Linked DNA regions of Schizosaccharomyces pombe. The protein of the gene in region 1 purifies or fractionates together with the protein of each later gene. This does not show direct contact. Each region holds a gene or a part of one and is shown on either strand. Other genes may lie near its edges.

Region 1 (8,957 bases):
TTTAGTAAAAAGATGTCAGTAAAAGCTTTCTAATCCATTGGTCGGAACTTTTTAAGACTTTGATGTTTACCAAATAATGAACACAGTTAACACTCCCTCACTATATTTTGCATCGTTATACAGTATACCAACGTTTACTATCGTTTACTATAGCACATATCGAAGTAGACAGCTGCACACTATTGATATTATAGCTATCGGCGCGTAGCTTTGACATTGACTTTTAGAATCTGCCATCCGATTGATACTTGAATCAGCAAATTAGAAGGGCTGTTCTTTTATTGTTTTAGAATCATCGGCTTGTACTATTACTAATTGAATTAGTTCTTATGTTACGCACATATCTCATTCTGTGGTCTTCATAACGACTTCTTGTAATTGGTGTTGGATATTGTCCAATTATTGTTATCTCCAAAAAGCTTTCTTATATTCTGTTTTTCAAGTTCTTTATATCTTTTTATTCTTTTTCCTACGTATTGTTAAGAGTGAATAAAATGCCATGTCCTCTTATGTGCCCAACACCCTGTCCGTATATCACAACTTGTTAATTTTAGAGGCATCGTTTCGGAAAACATACCTACAGCTTCAAGTTCGTCGTCAAAAGTATATGGCTTTCTATGTCTCACTATTGGTGTGGAACTTTTACTTTGGCTATCGCGTCTTTTATCGCATCTCAAAATACTCGTTGATTGATTTGACTTACAAACTTTGTCTTTTATGCGGAATTGTTACACTTTTGCTCTTTTATTTTTCTGGATTGTATCGGACTACAATAGTATATCCATCACGTTATGTTCAACAAGTCAACAAAGCGATGAGGTTTTTTAACATTCGCCTTGTTATAACTCCTGTCCCGTGGTTCCAGGTGAGAAAGCCTTTGGATTGTGGTGTCCATCTTATATTATCAAGCAAACGATTTGACATATTGGTGATCGAAGGTTGGGAAGCTTTTCGTTCTTCATATTTTGCTTCAATACATAGAAAAAACAATAGCATACAGAGTAACGAGTCCTCTGAATCTCCTTCTTCTAAACAGAACTAGATTTACTTATACCCTTATCCTATTTATAAAGGATGCGATCGTTTATTTCCTTTTCAACGTTGTTAATGCTTTTCATGTTTATACTGTTCTAGTATTTGTCATTTTTCATAACGTAAATTTTGATTAAAATTTTCAGCTATTTTTTTTTTTGCTATCCGTTGTTGCTGGCGCCTTTCGCTATATTATTGATCAGTTATTGTCGTTATACTTTTATTACATACTTACCCGATTTGAATTTATTAGGATACTTTTAAGGACATTTCCTTTTATGTTGGGATATGAGATTGCTTTACAGACCCACTGAAATAGGATTTATCGTTGGATAATTAAAAAAAGGATGTTGATGATTCATTACACATCTTGATCATTTACTTGCCTCATCTTAATTGGAAGGGTTTAAATAAAGGCTTAATTGAAAGTTGCTGTCACTTAACTTCCTTATCTTGTTCTGTCAACTTAAACTATTATCTTTCATTCCCGACTTATAATCTTTCTTTTCTTTCTACATCACCTTTTTTTTTAAAAAATGGGTAAAAAGCGTTTTCGCATGTACATAAGCAAAACTTCTTCTCTTCTTATGTAGAGACTTCCTTTTTTTTTAATTTTCAACTTACTCATGCGGACTATACCGGACGTTCATTAGCTCTCTTGACGAGTTAGGTTTTCAAATAATTTAATATAAATGTAATCACTCCACCGTTAAAATTAACTATTTATAAGTGGTGCTAAAATATAAAAAAGTGCATATAGCTAACACGTTTACTCACTGTTGTGCTGACAATTTAATCAATGAAATAATTGGAGACAAGTGAACTCTTTCGAAACTCTCATAATCGTCAGAGTTTGACTTAAAATACATTGTATATTAGTAGTCTAAATACGAGTAATATTATGCAAACCTTCCTATTCCTTATCTAATGTCGACTACTCAGTTAAATTTTATCCCAGCCAATTGCCCTAGCTAAGACATTTGTTATTATTTTGGTATTATGTTTATTCTTTTTGAACTTTCTGGCTAATTGTTAAAGATTTTACCTTATGTGATCTATATTTTCTTACTGGCTCAACCATGCGTAACGCTCCAACAACCAGCACTTTGCTCCATCACAATGCCGTTGTTCTTAGAAGAACATGCTGAGGTAATTTTATTTTTAAGATGCCGAATTAACGCTTTTAGTATTTGAAAAGATATTTAGAACAGGCGTTGGAGCCAATGTATGTAATTTTTTTTGAGTTGCCAATTTGCGTGATTTTTTTTTTTACACGCTAAAAAATTGTTTATCAATATGCTAACGAAATGACTAGTTCTGATGCTGATGCAAGTGTTTTATCAGATTATGCTATGGCATTGTTAAGGCACGATTCTTCTGAAGAAGAAGTTCGCCAGTTATGCTACTCACAACTAGAAGATTTTTTGCGACAGGAGACAATTCCTTTTGTTGATAAAATTTTTGATGTTTTACGTGAAAAATCTTACTTGGAGGGTGCTTCAAATATGCCGTCAACCGGTATGGTGACTGAAGAAGTTTCAAGGTATTCGCCAACTTCATCAATGATCCCTGCCACCAACAGCATGGAAACCAATTTTAATAATTCTTTACCTGCTGTAGGAAAAACAAACACTTTTCCCTCTCAGGTGCCTAATATGTTTGGACCTCCGTTGTACCATCCAGCAGCCACAGCACCTTCTGAATTCATGCCCAGTATTCCTGGGTTTGGAAACTTACCAAATCCTGCAATGCCTCCCATACCATTCTTACCATTTAATCCTGCGGCGCAGCCTCCTTTCCCTCCCCCATTTAAGATGCGAGGTAAAAGAGGATTTGGCATGCGCCATGAGCATAATAGTGAACTTCGTAGGCATTCTCCTGGTAATCGAAGATTTAATCCATACAAAGCGTATCCCCAACCCCATCTGGGACATCGCTTCTCTCGTAACGCTGGCAATGATCCAACAAGTACTGCTTTAGAAGTGCGAAACATTCCGGAAGAGCATTTTAATGAGGAGAACATTAGGTCCTTTTTTTCAAAGTTCGGTGTATTGGAGAAAGTCGAATTAAATCCGACACATCATTCTTGTGTGTTAGAATTCACTTCCCATGAGGCTGCCAACAATGCTTGGTCCTCGCCTGAGCCCATATTTAACAATCGCTTTATTAAAATATTTTGGTATAATCCGTCAAAGGGATTTCACAATCGACCAAAGAAGTTTGCATCCCATAAATCTCCCACTACTTCCGATTCGTCGAATGTAGAGAGTTCTGAAGATGTCGATCCTGCTTCTTTGTTACAAAACGAAGAGTTTCATAAACTGATTGAAGAAAGGCAAAGGCAGCACGAAGAACGTTTAAAACGCATAAATGCTAATAAAAAGGCACTAGAAGAACTTAACCAAAAAAAGCGCGAGCTTGCACAGCAACAATTAAAAGAACAAGAGTTACTGATGCAAAAAATTAAGGAAACTGACCGTTCAGGAAACAAAAGACTCATGTTGTTAGAAACTCAGCATTCTCTTTTGAAGGCTGAGGCTGATTGCTTAGGGTTACCTGTGAGCAACGTTTCTGAAAGCCCAGCGGCATCTAATGGTTCTCATCATCCTTACGCTTCAGGACTTCCCCAGCGAGGTACCAACACATTTTTCCGTGGCAGAGGTCGCGGACGAGGTGATATGTTTGCGTCAATGTCCATCGATAATCGTCCAACTAAGCTTCGTGTAATAAATGTTTCTCCTGAAAAAAATGAAGCTTTGTTGCAATACTTATTCACTGTTGGAGGATATGAGGAAATTACTGAACCTTCAACTACTGAACGTCTTATCAGTTTTCAGAATAGAAATTCCGCTGAAAAGGTATGTAGCTGATTCTTTCTCTGACAGAAAAAATTTCAAGTTAACAAATTTTAGTTTTTTGGTGGAGTTCGGAACGTTGAAAAACTTCAAGAATTGGAGTTGGCGTGGGTGCCAAAAACAGCTGTTACAACTAATACTACATCCATGGAGACTGGCGAATCTAATACAAGCGACAACATGAACATAGAGGTAGAAGAAGGAAGATGGCGCTAGTTTATTTACTTTTACAAAAGTTTTTCAGAGAATGAATTAATGGGCTGCATTGTATGCGGCTGTCATAAAATATAAGCAACTAATTGATTAATCTTATAGAGTGCAATAAGCATTTCAAAAATGGAGATTTCATATTGAAATATTTGTAACTAACATTTCGATCAATTCGGTTTTTTGATACAAAAGAGTTAATGCTTCCGAATTACAACTCAAATCGTTACACAATTCATTAAAAGTGGTAACAAAAATCGGCTAGGAGAGAAAACTCATGATAAGGAAAGAAACATAAATTCAGTGTTCATAGCAAGAAGTAAACAAAATGGGCATGTTACTTCAGTTTAGAAATAATGGCATCGGTATATTGAACATTGTTTGACTTGCCGCCCAAATCCTTGGTGCGAGCATCGGGATTGTTTGCAAGGGTATCAAAGATAGCTAATGGTAATTAGTAAACAGACAAAATCTTAATTTAGTAAAACACATACCTGATTCGATGCGTTTGGCATAATCATTTAAATTCATGTGCTTCAACATCATTACAGAAGATAACAGTAAAGCAGTAGGGTTGGCTAAACCTTTTCCAGCAATATCAGGGGCAGTACCATGAACAGCTTCAAAGATGGAAGCTTGGTTGCCAATGTTTCCGGAAGGAGTCAAACCAAGACCGCCAATTAAACCAGCGCACATATCAGAAACAATATCACCGTATAAATTGGGCATAACCATAACTGTGTTGTTATAAGGGACAGGATCGGTGACAATCTTCAAGCAGGCGTTATCCAAGATTTCCTCCCTAAGCTCGATATCAGGATATTCAGGTGCAAGCTCCTTGGCGCATTCCAAAAATAAACCGTCAGCCATGCGCATAATGGTAGCCTTGTGGACTACGGTGATGTTGTTCTTGCCAGTTTGGCGAGCATATTGGAATGCATAACGAATAACACGCTCAGATGCTGCGCGAGTAATTAATTTAATCGATTGAACAACGCCTGGTATAACTTCATGCTCGATGCCTGAGTATTCACCCTCAGTGTTCTCACGAATCAAAACGGTATTAACGTTATCATAAGGTGTTTTGTATCCCGTAATAGATACACAGGGACGAACATTGGCAAACAAGCCGAAAGTACGACGCAAAGTAAGGTTCATAGAAACATGACCCTTCCCAATTGGGGTTGCCAATGGACCTTTCAAAGCCACTTTATTTTTCCTAACAGATTCCTTAGCATCATCAGGAATAGTAGTAGTACCTAAACGAATTAGTAAACGTGATTTTCGTGCGCGATAATCTCGAGGAGACATGGAAGGACTTGACAAGCAGGAACAAGCATTGCTGACAAAAACGTATAAAAGAAAGGCCAAACTGCATACAAATCCAACCATCTTCTCTTATACTTGACATACCATTTTTCAAAATAGGATATACTTTTACACGTTCCCATTCGATAGGGACCTACAATACAAGTCGTTAATGACTAAATGACGGATGACTCGACAAACCTTTGCAGCCTTAAATATACGTTCTACAGACTGAGCAATTTCTGGACCAATGCCATCGCCAGCAATCATCGTTACTGTGTAGTTCCCGTTGGCATTCTTTACTCCTTCATATGTCCCAGCGGCAGCCTTCGTTGAAGAAAATCTCTGCTAAAAATAACTCTGTTAATATAATCGATCAAATAATCATGAAAAGACGAGTAAGGCTGCTTAAACCAGCGATTTATCGCTTAGGAGCCAATTCACAACTTACAAAAGAGTAACAGGCGCTTCTTGAAAACGTCCGTAAAGAACCTGCAGTACGTAAAGTAGAAAGCATTGACATTGTTTTTTTATAACTAATGTAGCATGTATGGAGAGTGCAAGATGTCGGACCGTGATATAAACAAAGGATTCCGAGAGTCGTCGCATCATCCTTAATTTGACTTTACCGAATTTTGTGGAGATAGAACGTGGAGTTAAGCAAGGGTAATTGAGTGGAGTTTAACCATTTAGAAAGCCCCTCGAAGCGGAATGAGGAATTGTTATTACATAGCGCTCTTTTTTACTGCATTGTCTATTATTGCGTTATATAGTTTTTAACGATAATTTCAGTAGTACATAATTATTAATGTTGTTTAAAAAACACATCTATTTGGTTCTTGAGGTATATTCAGTAACTAAAGATGTAATTGTCTAAATTGAGAGGATAATTCGACGAATTGGTTTTGCTTGAATTAAAAAAATTGTAATTTTGTAGCTTCACACTGGTGTTATTGATATCTTGACTTTTGTATTGTTCTCAACTGGAAAATTAGTGTTGTCATATACTAGGTGTGCTTTTTTAATTTTTCGGATTATGCTTTATTTTCTCAATTACTCTTCCAAATATATTCATTCATTCAACAAAAAGATGTTTTGCTATTTGTCTTAAATAGTGTAGCATTTTAGAATACGTAGTTCCTATTTCAAACTATCTCAACCATACACTCACTAAAAACAATAACGATTATTGTGTGTTAAAGGCATTTAAAGATTTTTTAGGAATAGTTAAAAAAGCATAGTGACATGTAACGAAGCGTACTGTTTGCCCGCACAGTCGAAGTTGCCGCTTAGAATTAAGCTTCGGTTAATAAAAACTAGCAAGTTATCCTAACGAACTGTGGGAAAAGCTTATTCAGGAAAACTTCGTGGATCCCGTTAAAATACGTTATGATAACTAATAGCGAACTGTCTTGTTGCTGTGTTTTGCAATATTACTTTTAAATAGTATAAGACAGTATGTTAAGTTAGGTTTTCAGAGTGCATACTCTATTCGTTAATTCGTGCTTTCAACTCTTTATCTTTCAAGAGTGCAAGAATCTCTTGCAAATTCGAGCTTGGTCTTGCAACTGTTTATTCTAATCCTCCAGCGTCTTGCTGGTGGTTTCGCATGTCTGAACATAATTACCAGTCTGATAGGGAAGTGGCAGAGGATCCTTTTCTTAATTATGAAGCCTCTGCTAATCAATTATCCTCAAATTCGCGCGAATCTACTCCAAGAGGTTCACCATGGCGCGCTGGTATGAGATCCGCATCTTTAATGACAGAACCTTTAGAAGATTCCATGTATAGCGATAATAATTATTTAGACAATGGGGTCTCTTTTACAAAAGATGAAAATCCTCTTTACTCGCCGTCTTGGCCGAGTTTGGCGGATGCAAACGTGAATTCAATGAAGTCTAATAATGCTATACAGGAGCATAAAGCAGCGAAATTTGTTTCTGAAAAGTCTTTGGAAAAAGTATCGACTGCAGATAATAACCTTGTGCTTCAGGAGCTTGAAAATCTCCGAGAACGCTTAAATCAAGTAGAGCTTCAACTCAGTGAGCGACCCTCTTCCTACTTAGGCTATCATAACAATCTTAGTCCATATCGTTCTCCTAACAGTTACCCTTCTCTTTTACCCTCTACTCATTCACCTCACTCACCGGCGCCGCTAAGCACGATGCAAACGGCTCTTATGCGGCTTCGCACTTATCATCCTTCGCCCATCATTTTAAAGCCCGTAGAGCAAGCTGTAAACCATGCAATCACCTTGGTAAACACCTCTCCATCGAGTGTGGTGGATGCGTTATGCCGAAGCCTTGCCGAATTGTGTCTTGGCTTGGTGCAAGAAGCGATCGATGCATCTATTTTGAGTCAACAGGAAAGCTCAAACTCTTTAGATCTTGTCCGTCATACACCACCATTGAATTATACCAGTTCTGTTGATTCTTCACCACAACGTATGGCCTCTGATAGTTATGGTAGGCCTTCTCTGCATTTAAATGACCCCTTTCCATCAGTTGATCTTCAATCAAATGAACTTTCTCATCATAATGTTAGAACAACTCTCTTTTCTGATGATTCCCGATTTCATTCAAAAATTCATACACATTCTACTCCTCCTTCTCAAATGTATAGTGCTGCATCTCATTTCCGGTACCGTAGCGATCCATCAACCCGTCATGTCTCGAATTCTACAAACAAATCGAGCTTGCATCCATCACCAACGTCTTTGCGAGTTGCTCATCCTATTATCCCCCAGAGGGCGTCTCCAGCATCACAGTCTTTTCCTTCTCTTCAAGACACTCCTTCCCCCTAGTTCGGCCTATTACAAGTTTAATTTTGAATCAATTTTTCTTTGTGTTTATCAAGTAAATCAGGTTCTTCTCATACATGTAAGTTCATACAAACATTGATTGAGGAGTGCTATCATTTAATTTGTCGTCCCTCTCGTACAAGTTTTTATTTTTTTTATATCGCTCATTTCTTTAAGAAGTTGCTAATCCTACTAGGACGTCTATTTTAATGTTATTGGATCTGGCTGCATCTCTATTTGCTGCATTGCTTGCTCAAACTTTATAGTATGAGAACGTCTTAAAATTTGAGGTTTTGTTCATCTTCTCATCAATGCTATTTTTTTAAAATTGATAATTCAGTGCAGATCTTTTCATTATTTAACCATATACGATAATTTAGATTTGGGAAGTGGATGTCTTCTTCGCAAGACGAAATGGTACATTGTGTTTAATTAGCTTTATTTCGCACCTGATTTATAAAATGAATCAGATAATTTAACTCGTTACTGTATTTACTTTTAGTATCTTTCTATATTCAAGTTTACCAACTTGTTAAAATGCGTTACCTCTGTCACCTGTAGAAAAGCATCAAATGCTGTAGCTTGGTAGGAGCTCACAATACTTCCATACATCTTTTCAGTCTATCATCAATTATTAGAACACTGAAAATTTGTATTCTCCAGTTATCTTCTTGCAAGTTAAATATTATAGAGGAAGCTAAGTTGAAATGGTTATTGGTGCCATGAATGTTTGAAGGTAACTCACAAAATGAATT
Region 2 (5,875 bases), on another chromosome or scaffold:
CTAACTCTGTTGATGCAGGGAAAACATTGTTTTCTTCTTTTCTTTCATTACATTGACTTAAAAGTCAAACTCTTTAAAACTAGTCAAATAATGTTTGCAGTTTAAAGCTACGTTTTTGAGAGCGTAAAGTGATGCAACCTTTAATCTCACAGTTAATATAAACATAGCGAATATAATAGGTTAATGGATCAATGATTAATAATAACTTTTACCTAGCAGAATTGTTTATTACTACAGACCATTTAACTTTTAGCAAAAGGAACTTCCTAATTCCTTACAAAAGTACGACTGGACAGTTACGGTTAACACAAATACGTTAGCTCTGAGCAAAAAAATTAATTCCACAAAGGTATACGCAGTAAATAAAAGTTCAATCCAAAATACAGATTGACATCCTCTATTCACTCATTTAGTTTTACCAAAAAACAAAAAAACGACAAACCTTCTAACCAAACTACAACACATTTATAAAAGTAATCACAGAACAGCTACACGAGGCTCAAAAGAAGAGTAAATATATGTAAATCAACCAAATCCAGCCTTTTATTTTGTGACCTAATGAATAAACAGCGTAGCCGAAAAAAAAAATCCTTTCTCAGCAAACACTAACACGACTCACAAAAAACCATATGGTGAGCAGCTATCAACCGGCACAGATAAAAGAAGCATTAAAAACATGGGCAAAGAAAAGCAGATAAATTAAGTTGCGGGAGGTTTGCCGGGTTGCGAGAAGAGCAATCACGGAGCGTTCCATATCTAGAACAAAGAGAAGAAAGGACTTTTGTATTTTTTAAATCAAGTCAGCAATGTTCATAGGCATTTCCTCAATGTGTGTATTGTAGAATTGTTCAATCTCACGCATCATGCGAACATCGTCGTTGGTAACAAAGTTAATGGAAACACCCTTACGACCGAAACGACCACCACGACCAATACGGTGAATGTAGTTTTCTCTGTTAGCAGGTAAGTCATAGTTGATAACCAAGGAGACTTGTTGGACATCGATACCACGAGCAAGAAGATCGGTGGTGATAAGAATACGAGAAGAACCAGTACGGAACTCATGCATCAAAGTATCACGTTGAGCTTGGTCCATATCACCGTGCATGGAGGAGACGGTAAAATCACGCTCAGTGAGCTGCTCGGTAAGCCAATCGACCTTTCTACGGGTATTACAGAAAATAACGGCTTGAGTAACAGTGACGGTTTCATAAAGATCGCAAAGAGTGTCAAGCTTCCACTCTTCCTTTTCAACGGCAACATAGAATTGCTTGATACCTTCCAAGGTAAGCTCATCTTTCTTAACAAGGATACGAATGGGATCACGCATAAATTTGGTGGTGACTTCCAAAACATCTTGAGGCATGGTGGCAGAAAGAAGAACAACTTGAGCAGTAGGAGGCAAAAGTTGGAAAATGTCGTAAATTTGGTCCTTGAAACCACGGGACAACATTTCATCAGCCTCATCAAGAACAAACATTTGGACGGCATCGGTAGGAAGAGCACGACGTTGAATCATGTCGTGAACACGACCTGGTGTACCAACAACAACGTGAACACCAGCTTGCAAGGCAGCCATATCATCACGAACAAGAGTACCACCAATACAAGCATGGCATTCAACATTCATGAGATCGCCTAAAGCAACAACAACCTTTTGGATTTGTTGAGCAAGCTCACGGGTAGGAGCAAGGATAAGAGCTTGGCATTGCTTCAAGCTAGTGTCAATCTTCTGCAAAACAGAAATTGAGAAGGTAGCAGTCTTACCAGTACCAGATTGAGCTTGAGCAAGGACATCACGCTCTCCCAAAATGGGCATAATGGCTCTTTGCTGAATGGCAGAAGGACGCTCAAAACCGTAGGCATAAATACCACGGAGAAGCTCAGGCTTCAAATTCATGTCGTCGAAGGTGTCAATAACCTCATCGTAGTTGGTTTCAATAACCGAATCCTCCAGTTGGTCTACCATTTTAGCAATCTTGCTTAGCTAGGTGAGTGGGTTGTGGAAAAAAAGTTGAAGGGTTGTAATAAATATTTTCTCTAACACACAGTCACACACCTGAAAAATTGTAATAATTCCTGATTATTTTAGTACTTTAAATACACAGACTTTTACTGAAAAATCTATTTAAAAAAATTATAAAAACATTTATGTACACACTTTACTTTTAAGATTTTAGATGTCTTCTAAAAAATGATGTAGCAAGAAAAACCCTACTGAACGTGGCGATAAACTCCTGCACACTCTATCGAAGCCTGCGTTAATGCTGTTTAATACAGATAAGCAACTCGTTGCGAAAAAGTGTATTTTACGTGGTAATATTTGGTGAATGCTAAAACATAAAAAATGTTAAGGAGTTTGGAATGCATATAAAAGCATTTTTTATTATTGTAACACTGTTCATGTTATCTTCAATAGTATGAAAAGTTATCGATTACACATGAGTATTTTAAACAATCACAATAAAAGATAATGAATGAATATGCTGAATGCAGAGAGGTTGTTTATTAGTTGACTAAAGAAATGCATAATAAATCTATGGAAAAAGAATGATTCGTAACAAAAACAGCGTGCAATGTTGAGCAAATTGAAAAAGACACAATTCGTTTAATAAAACACACAATCGTCAATAGCATTATCTCAACCATAGTAAATATATGTACGTAGGAATTTTTAAAGTTATTCCTTAAAGAGATGAAGCAGGGTCATAGATTCTTGAAGCTTAGATTGTAATAGCATATATTATAATCAATTGATGTGGCATGCAAAAGATGTCCGGAGTAGTAAATAGTATTCCAAAATGCTCAAGGAGAAGTTCGCACAAATGTTGACAGTACTGTCATAAACGATCTAAAGTGCAGGACCTGCTGCATTTGCTGGAGGAAGTATTAAAGAATGAACTATAGGATTTTCTCCAGATGAAAATGGAATTGGCTCAGTGCTGTAAAGTATTTCACCTCCTTCACTAATTAACCCTCGGCCATCAGTTAAAAGTTTAATGTTTTGTCCCATTATGATTTGAACGAGTTCGGCTGTTTCGGCATTCCTAATTTCAATGAAGTCCGGCTCAAATGCCAGGATATATGGATAACACAAAGCGCAACCTTGAGGTTGGCCCTCCCAATTAATCATCCAGGATTGCCTAGATTTCCAGCCATTCGTATTAACAAAGAATGCAAAATCTGAATAACAGAGGAGAAATTCTCCTCTTAAGCGAAACATGGCAATCGGTCGAATATCTTCCCTCTTTTCTAAAAATCTAAATGAAGTATCAGCAGGATTTAACAAAGATTGGAATACGGCATTTTCCAAACTTATAATATCGAATCCCTTAAAACTTCCCACACAAAGCTTTGTCTTGAGAAAGTGAACGGACAAAGCTTCCATCGGCATTTGTACCTCCTAAAAAAATGTTAGTATAGAGAAAGAACGACGAGGTAACTCACAGTAAATATTTTCAAAGTTGCTTGATTGCCAAAAGGCTTTTTTAGAGACTGGGTCTTTTTGTTCTTCAAGGCACGATCAGCCTCATAAATCCTCAATGTAGTATTTAAAACGGTGGACTTTACCGCACAGACTAAAATTCTTTGCATACAAAAACCTGTTTTGACGAAACTAACATGACCTGTTACACGTCGCAAAGACTTTGAATTAATTTGTTCTACTGAATCAAGAGCGTCCAGAGGTAACTCGTACAAAATCTTCTCGGCTAAAAGCAATAGAACGTTATGTTCCTCAATTACATCTAGTTGAGAGATATTTGGTAATTGCAGCTTGAAAATGGGTTCAAGACAACTGCCATTATTACTTTTTCGAGAAGAGATATATAGTCCCTTGTAAGTTCCAAATAGTAATTTACGGCCCGCATCTAAAGAGCTGTTAACAAACATTTACTTCTTTAACATATTGTTTATTATACTTACCATAGGCAACGGCACATAATAACTTGTTGCCGGTAAACCAGGACTGACAACATATGCCTCGACTTTCAAATACCAAATGACGCTTTCGAATGATATCTTGCTGTTTCTCAATGTGTTGTTTCCATTGGTCTCTAGCAATCAGTGTATTGAGATAAAGACTTATAGAAAAACCACGGGCTCCAATAAATACTAACTGCAAACCGTATGCTTTAACAGGAGGTGGATTACTTTTTGTAATTGAAATTGGATTAGTTAACAAAGCAGAAGATGGTCGACGCGGAAGGCTACCTCTCGATGGCGAGTCTTCGATGTAAGAAATCGACAACAATTCTAAAGGTAATGGCCTGAGATGCAGTTTATGAACTCTTCTTTTCATTTGAATCTTTATCTTACACAACAAGAGAAAATTGTCCAGTAAAAACATGTGAATGTCGTTTTCAGTGTCCCCATTCGAATAACTACTGGCTTTTAGCTTGACGACGCCTTTGAAAATCAATAAGCGAGATGGATCAAACAATGTTAATTTTGCTCGATCCGCAGGGCTGCAGGAAAGCTGTTCGTTTAACTGTAACAACGAGAGTCTATTTTCAGTCTTCCCTGTTTCATAGTTAAGCTTAGTAAGAAATTCACGAATCATTTCGATTACACGAGGAATGTTTTCCGTATCAGGATTATCTTTATCAGTGTACTTAAGAACTCCACTTAATAGTAGCGGATACCTCGCAAGGCGAGTCGTAGGCTTGGTCAAATAACCATTAAGTTCTAGTTTTCTAGACTCTCGTAATCTTTCCACTTCATGAACATAATTCGCAAAATTCCTATTCGTACTTTTTTCACGCTCAAATTCAAACTTGGCAATAGCCTGATTGGCACCATATTTTATAAAAGGCTCAAATTTAGGAACATAATCTAAGAAAAGATCACCAATTGTGTTAACTACAGGTTGCAGAGTTTGAGTACGGTTTAGAGCATTTGACAAACGAGAATTGACAGCATGGATTTGCATGATATTATGAAAAACGCAACGTATAAATTGTTGTCGGTTGTTTTCTGGTATTACATTTGAGGTTGAAAGAGGCTTAATCCAAAAGTCACGTATATACTCTAGGTCTCTGACGAAGTCCCGTTCTGTGTAAATAACCTCAAAAATGATTTCCTGTCTTTTCCATTCACGGACATCGATCTGGTCTACAACTTGCTTAGGAACATTTTCCGACCATAAACGATGATCTTCCTCTTGTTTATCTGTAATCGAAGTTGATCCCCCACTTAATACAGGTTGGACCTTCAAATGGAGACGGGCCTGCTGCTCTAGTCGACGTGGGCAAGATATAGAATAGCAAAGGCGATTACGAGAACATGTAGAGGAGTAGCATTCCGTTAAAAGAGTAAACACTCCATGAGGATTGTATTCGGTTTCAGGAGCTTCAGGCTCCTTAGTAATTGCGCTTAGGGATGAGGTGATGAAAGCTAAAGAATTTACCTGTACAGACGAGGAGATGGTAGGTGTCGTAGAAGAATCAGATAAAACAGAGTCAAATGAATCAGACGTGTTCGCTCTTCTTTTTGTGTAGAGAAAGTTATTTTCGATCGACGATCCATTGGAATCCATCGAGGAGAGACCAGGAGGAGGAGAAATGATACGTCGGTACTGGTAAACTTCCTTGAGCGAGTCGCGAAGTCTATGAGAGTAAGTAACGTCATGAAACATCTTTTGCGAATCCAGGGCTCTTCCTAAAAGTAACGCCAAATTCCTGTCAGTCGTCCGAACTATATGCATCAATACATCGACAGCTTCCGATCCAAGAAAGGCATCTTTATAAAGAAGACCATCCTTCACACGGTCACCGATGTTAAGACGCTTTCGGAACTCAACGGCGACTTGAGAAAGAAAAGCCGGATGTATATAAGGGCGACGAGATGAGGTAGAATTGGAATGCGAAGGGGCGAT
Region 3 (6,459 bases), on another chromosome or scaffold:
GTGCTGCGAAGGAAACAGAACACTTGTTTGCCAAGAAAGGACGTGATTTAATTAAATATTGTGAAAGGGAGAAAATTTCTTTCTCTGAATTCGAAACCTTTGCTGATATCCATAAAGATTTGCAAAAATTATTCTTTAGCAGTTAAATCTGAATAATACCTAAGAAGTTTTCGTACTTCAACATTTTTATACCTAAAGTTGATAGATATTTGTTATCAGCGCCTCGAAACTTAGTTTCAAGCAGGTCCTCATAGCAATTTAAATGCATCATTCACCAACGGTTCGATTAGTTTGGGTTGTTAGAAGCAATGATTTAACATAATTTGTATTTATATACTCATCCATTTGCGAGTCTTGTATGAAAAATCCTATATCATATCAGTCCGTAAGTGGTCGCATTGCTACAATATCTCTTTATTTTTTTTAAGAAAGAAAATAAAGAGATATTAAATTTTGCGTCTTTTGGTCGTGAGATCGCCGAAATAAGGTAGCGAGTATAACATAATGTAGATCACGCATATTGTTATATTTTGGTTTGGTAAAGTTACTCAAAGTCAGGAAACTTGTAATGATGTTTTAAGGGGCTTGCAGAAAAAATTGCTATTACGAAATCCATGTCTGTAATATTTTGGTTATTAATAAATTGAAATAAAATTTAAAACATGAAATATTGTGACTTTATGTATCCTGTCTACTACCATACCTTTCAACCTTCATACAAATTTTCCCGTACTCGCATCATTTTCTTTCTTCACCTAACTCCCCACCGTGTCTGTAAAACATAATATTTCTCTTTCCCACATACGAACGAATAAATAATAAAATACAGTATATGTACAGTAAACGTACCTCAGACACCATTATTTTGTCAAGAAAGTGAATAAGCTTACAATACCCCCGTCATCCAGTGAATTCGTAAGTGGGAAGTTGAAAAACGCATGCTCAACGCAGGATAGCATACAAACGGAAAAGCCCTTATGGATTTTTCTGTGGATGCTTTTCTTTTTAATTAAAAATTTAGTCGTTTATTAACTATTGCTTTAAGTTTTTTTCAACAAGATGTCTGTCTCTGGAAAAATTGGAGAGGTCGATCGTTGGATTGAACAGTTGAGTCGATGCGAACCTCTTTCAGAGGAAGATGTCATTCAAATGTGTGATCTCGCAAAAGAGGTACTTTCTGTAGAATCAAACGTTCAAAGCGTCCGATGCCCTGTAACGGTTTGTGGTGATATTCATGGACAATTCCATGACTTAATGGAGTTGTTCAATATTGGCGGCCCTTCACCTGATACAAATTATTTGTTTATGGGAGATTATGTTGACAGAGGATATCACAGTGTAGAAACAGTTTCTCTACTGATTGCTTTTAAAATTCGATATCCCCAGCGTATAACAATATTACGTGGAAACCATGAATCTAGGCAAATTACACAAGTTTATGGATTTTATGATGAATGCCTTAGAAAGTATGGAAATGCGAATGTTTGGCAGTACTTTACAGATCTTTTTGACTATTTGCCTCTCACCGCCCTAATTGAAGATCGAATTTTTTGCCTTCACGGAGGTCTTTCTCCTAGTATTGATACACTTGACCATGTTCGTATATTAGATCGTGTGCAAGAGGTTCCTCATGAAGGTCCGATATGCGACTTGTTATGGTCAGATCCTGATGACCGACCTGGTTGGGGTATTTCTCCTCGAGGTGCTGGGTATACGTTTGGCCCGGATATTGCTGAAGCATTTAACCATAATAACGGTTTAGATTTAATAGCAAGAGCTCATCAGCTAGTTATGGAAGGTTATAATTGGACTACAAACCATAATGTTGTTACTATTTTTTCTGCTCCCAATTATTGTTATCGATGTGGAAACCAAGCAGCCATTATGGGAATTGATGACCACATAAATTACGCATTTATCCAATATGATACTGCTCCCCGAAAGGAGGAATTACATGTCACCAGAAGAACACCCGATTACTTCTTATAAGTCATCGTATGTTTTACTTTCTTCTTGGACTTGTTAATAGCTGGAATTTTTCATGGTTGGATTTTAGCGTTGTCAACGTGCCGCTAAAAATTTACTTTAATTTTATGGGTTTCTAATAGAATGTTGTTATCTTCGAATTTTTAATTCTCCTGTTTCGGTACAAATATTGAATTTATGGAATGCATATAAAATTTATATAGGATATATGATGCACTTGTAAGGTGTCTACCGTAATGATAATTTTTCACATCTGTACCGGTGTATAATATATTAGTGAAACACCAACTTATCGACATTAACATTTTAATAAATTATCTACAAAGGTCTAAACATAAATGATAGCATGTTCAGTAAATAAAAAAAAAACATAAGACCATGAAAGCTAAAACATTGTGAAGCTGATGTATGAGTAAATTTAAAACTTGTGCGCAAAAAGTTAATCGTCAAAGCTAGATATGTTAATAATCGAAAATTTAACAAACAGCTTACATGTAACGCTCAAGTAAAGCACAATTTCCTCCATTTTTAAGATTTACTGCGAACCGATAATAGTGTCCTGAATAAGAAGCTACTTGTATGTGCGGACCGCTGCTCGAAAAAATTATTTTTCCATAGAAAGAAGCTTCAGGAATCTTAGCAGTTGCAAATTCTTTCCTAGTGTCCCAAACTTTTGCTACATTTGAAGTTAAATATTTTGACCAAGAAGATGACACAGTTACGGAAGATGTAGGAGACGAATTCGGATCCGATGGTTGCTTAGAGATTTTGAAAACGTGAATAGTACCATTTTCAGAAGCACAAGCCAGAAAAGGCTCAACTGGGTGAAATGAGATAGATACAATGGATGCAGGTATATATCCCCTGCGCAATTCTGTCACCAATTCACCATCACTAGTTGTTATAACACGGATTACAGTTCCCTTTGCGGATGCAGTCGCAATCAAATGTCCACGCGGATGAAAGTCAACTACTTGGACAGCGGAAGAATGGCAATGAATCAATGTGACGGGTATTGCAGTATCCAATGAGGCTAAATAAATATCACCAGGGTTGGTCGGTGAATTATATGCAACATAATTCTCATGAACAGCAAAAGCTATAACATTTCCTTTCGAGGTATTTAGAGTATTAATTAATTCCATGTTTTTTAGATTATATACGTAAATACTCCCTTTAATTAAAACAACTAAACGATTCCATGTGAAACGTACACTTAGCACAGGACTCGGATAAAATATTCGGCATAAAACGATATCTCTCTAAAAATATGGGTTAAAATTAAGAAATCAATGCAGAATCTCAGTTAACTAATTACCTTGATGTCAACCAATTTTAGTAACCTCGTCGACTCAGGGGAAATATTCACGAAAGCAAGTAGAGAAGATTCATAAAGCATTTCACAAATACTTGCCCCATTGGCTTCTACAATCAGTAAGTTATAAGTCGTGTAAGATGGGCTTGTGTTTCCACTTCTCGGAAATTCATTGACAGCTTACTTTTTGAAAAGCACAGGGTAAACGGATTGGAGCGATAAACTTGATAGCCATTCTCAGAACCAATTGATAAAAAGCTAAATTTAGCAGTCAGTACAAAGATTGCACAAAATCTATTTTATGTGTGCCACTTACCCACGATCTTGATTCCACGAACAGTAAAGGATAATCGATGGCATTTCTCTTAAATCGACTGTTAATTTATTTAGTAGTTCACATTCACCCCTGTCTTAATACAATTGCTGATCACGTTCAATGGTAAAAGTAAAACAGATTTGTGCTAAGGCAGTGTGCGTAATTGAAGCAAAAAATAATGTGATTCGTACAATGCAAAAGCTTAACTTTGTAGTATCCAGAATATAAAAGAACCCATTTGAGCCTTTAGCAATTTTGATTAATGAATGTTTTTGTTATGTTTGTATTATGCAAGATAATATATACAGTGGTGCAGCGCTCCTTAATGGTCACCTCTACGCACATTCAAGAGCGTATATCTTGGCAACATCCAAATGTTGAATAAAACTTTTTTTGGGAATTCATGAATTTTTATTGTTTTGGTTAAATTTAAATATTAATGGATGCCGTTGAACCTTCTGTGGAGAAGGAATACAAAAAAATAATTTCTTTTAGAGATACTGTGTTTGAAGGGAAACATCAACAATTTTTGGTTCCGAACAATGTTCGTTTAAAATTTTTAAGAGATAGATTACATAAATCTTTAAAAAATTTTGATTCTGTTAAACGGAAAGTCGAAATTGCAAATGATGAAGGTAATAACAAACTCCTGAAATCATCACCCAAAGCACAAACCAGAGATGAAAATACTCCTTCTGAATTTAAGAATGGAGGTTTTAGTAACAGAGAATCTATGTCCGAAAACTGTTTTTCTAAATCATCTACTAATTTACCACGGCTAGACATTAACCGTGATTTTAATTCCTTACTTAATAGTCAAACAAAACCTGAAGCCACTGGTTTGATGAAAGAGGATATTACTCCCGTTGTAAACACTAGCAAACAATCTTCTACTGGGACTCAAGAGGAGTCCTCAAAACCGGAAAAATCTAATAAATTGTTAGCAAAGAGTACTTTATCTTTGTATGGGAATCAAGCTTTTAATCCTTCTTCAGTTCTTCCTAGCAATTCTTCATCAACGCCTAAGGAAAATAAAAAAAATGTGAATAAAGAGACATATCAACCGAACACTTTTCGCCGTAGTCCGTTGAAAAATGATACTGGATCAGTGGAGTTATCAAACCTGTATATGCCGTCTCCACCATCATCTGCGCTTCCCGTATCGCTTGTGTCAGCTCCTTCTCCTCCGAGGGCAACTAACGTTGCAGTCCCGTGTCTTAAACATTTGGAATCGAGTGAGCAGGGCAATAACCTACTTATTAACAAAGCTTTTACTTCTCCTCGCCTTCCTTCACCTCCCCAGTCAACAAGACCTAGCTCTACTAGGTTTCCTTCGGTTCCTTTATCAGATGAAAAAAACTCAATTGTCTCCGTAAAAAACGAAGAGCCGTCTGTCATTCTGGGAAATCAATCACCAATTTCGGATTTGCATCCGTATTCTCCATCTTGGATCCCCTATCCAAAGGAATTGCAATCGCTACAAGTCAATCGAATACCTGAGTTGTCCTTGGAGAACAATGTCATGTCAACTCGGGATTATAAGGATATAATGCCTCACCCTCGTCCTTCTGCTGTCCTTTTAGATAAACCGGTTTCTTTAGATCAAACTTCTCATCCTTTCCCTCATCAAAATACTTATATTCTACCTCCGGGGATAAGGAATTCTGTAGACTATGACGGCACTTTTCTTTCCCGTAAATCGCTTCCTCCTTATAATGGCATTCATCGTCTTCATGAGAGCCCTTCTCAGTTTTCAAATCAATCAAGATATAATTGGGAGCCAATTTTAGAAAATCGCTCCCTGCTCCATTTGAATCGTCCGCCTCCTATTGAAACGCACTATTCATACGAATCTAACAATTCATCGTTTTCTCCGTATTACCATAAACGGCATAGACAGATTTCTCCATACTACCCCACTTCCTCAGTTTATGGAGTTTATGAAAGTCCGCCTCACATGTCTGATTCTCGTATTTCTCGGCAGCATATGCCTTTAACGCATACTACTTATGAGCCTTCTGCGCCTTATTATAACGACTATGAATTAGCAGAGGAAATTGAGAGGCGTCGTCATCATAGCTTTTATGATTATTAGCTATACTCTTCCGTAAGTGCGCGCAACAATTTAAAAATTGCTTGGCGGAATATTTGAATTTGCATGTTTTTGTTTTAACTTATAAAGAAAATTAAGTACCTTTAGTACTGGTAATGTTTGATGTACATTTATTATAGTAGATAGAATATTCATGTTGCATAAATTGGTTTCGCACTTTCAGTTAACATTTTCAAATTCATTTATACATAAATACTTTTTTAGATGATTAATAAGAGGCGTTTCATAAATAGTATAAGTACTTTGTAAGCCTATTCTAATGGATGTGAATAAACAAAGAGACTATGGATTATGTGAATAGTTATATTACTTTCTTATTCGATAATCAAATTTTAAAGCTCCCAAATGCAAGATTATTGAAGAAATTTTGAAAAAGTTTCTTTAGTTAACATTAGCATGTAAAAGACACATAAACCCTAATTGACTGTAACATAAGAGACCTTTTACTTACGTCTACAGCGATTATTCTACTGGACTTAATAAAAGCAAAATTCGGACGGTCGAAACAACTCATTTAGACGTATGAGTCTATTTATTGTAGGTTAGCTTTTTGAATGAATATTACATATCATTATTTTTCTCTTTCTTTCTCTAACTACTAAAACCTAGGGTACTCATAACATCAAAAACTCAGCAATACAACTTTTAAAGACGAAACTGAAAAATGAATTTTTAAAGGGCGTTAAATGTATTACTAAATATCCCGAAAATGCACATAGCATTTTTAAA

What was found. Proteins that work in one complex are often made in the same cells at the same time.
Region 2: the proteins of rmn1 (region 1) and tif1 purify together in Schizosaccharomyces pombe (affinity purification with mass spectrometry, with the first as the bait; one large-scale study listed by BioGRID). This does not show direct contact.
Region 3: the proteins of rmn1 (region 1) and iss10 purify together in Schizosaccharomyces pombe (affinity purification with mass spectrometry; one large-scale study listed by BioGRID). This does not show direct contact.

What each region holds. Positions count from the first base shown.
Region 1 is NC_003423.3:487,731-496,687, forward strand, and holds rmn1 (MTREC (exosome adaptor) complex RNA-binding subunit Rmn1), read left to right. Parts: upstream 1-2,125; 5' UTR 2,126-2,151; coding exon 2,152-2,181; exon of another isoform or gene 2,182-2,219; coding exon 2,220-2,257; exon of another isoform or gene 2,258-2,347; coding exon 2,348-3,890; intron 3,891-3,944; coding exon 3,945-4,103; 3' UTR 4,104-4,431; downstream 4,432-8,957. Other genes in the region: protein phosphatase regulator Nem2, read left to right, coding at 500-1,042; idh2 (isocitrate dehydrogenase (NAD+) subunit 2), read right to left, coding at 4,432-4,538, 4,589-5,353, 5,508-5,556, 5,604-5,750, 5,854-5,925; gamma tubulin complex linker Mto2, read left to right, coding at 7,012-8,205.
Region 2 is NC_003424.3:5,081,657-5,087,531, reverse strand, and holds tif1 (translation initiation factor eIF4A Tif1), read right to left. Parts: upstream 2,003-5,875; 5' UTR 1,970-2,002; coding exon 791-1,969; 3' UTR 501-790; downstream 1-500. Other genes in the region: RhoGEF for Rho1 Rgf2, read right to left, coding at 2,852-3,403, 3,448-3,869, 3,925-5,875. UniProt on the Schizosaccharomyces pombe protein: ATP-dependent RNA helicase which is a subunit of the eIF4F complex involved in cap recognition and is required for mRNA binding to ribosome.
Region 3 is NC_003424.3:2,607,044-2,613,502, forward strand, and holds iss10 (protein Iss10), read left to right. Parts: upstream 1-3,982; 5' UTR 3,983-4,056; coding exon 4,057-5,712; 3' UTR 5,713-5,959; downstream 5,960-6,459. Other genes in the region: ptf1 (phosphoric monoester hydrolase), read left to right, coding at 1-146; serine/threonine protein phosphatase PP2A catalytic subunit Ppa1, read left to right, coding at 1,060-1,989; phosphatidylinositol-3,5-bisphosphate binding protein Atg1802, read right to left, coding at 2,426-2,438, 2,479-3,248, 3,305-3,411, 3,486-3,559, 3,618-3,661; SPOM_SPAC7D4.13C (uncharacterized protein), read left to right, coding at 6,253-6,267, 6,340-6,459.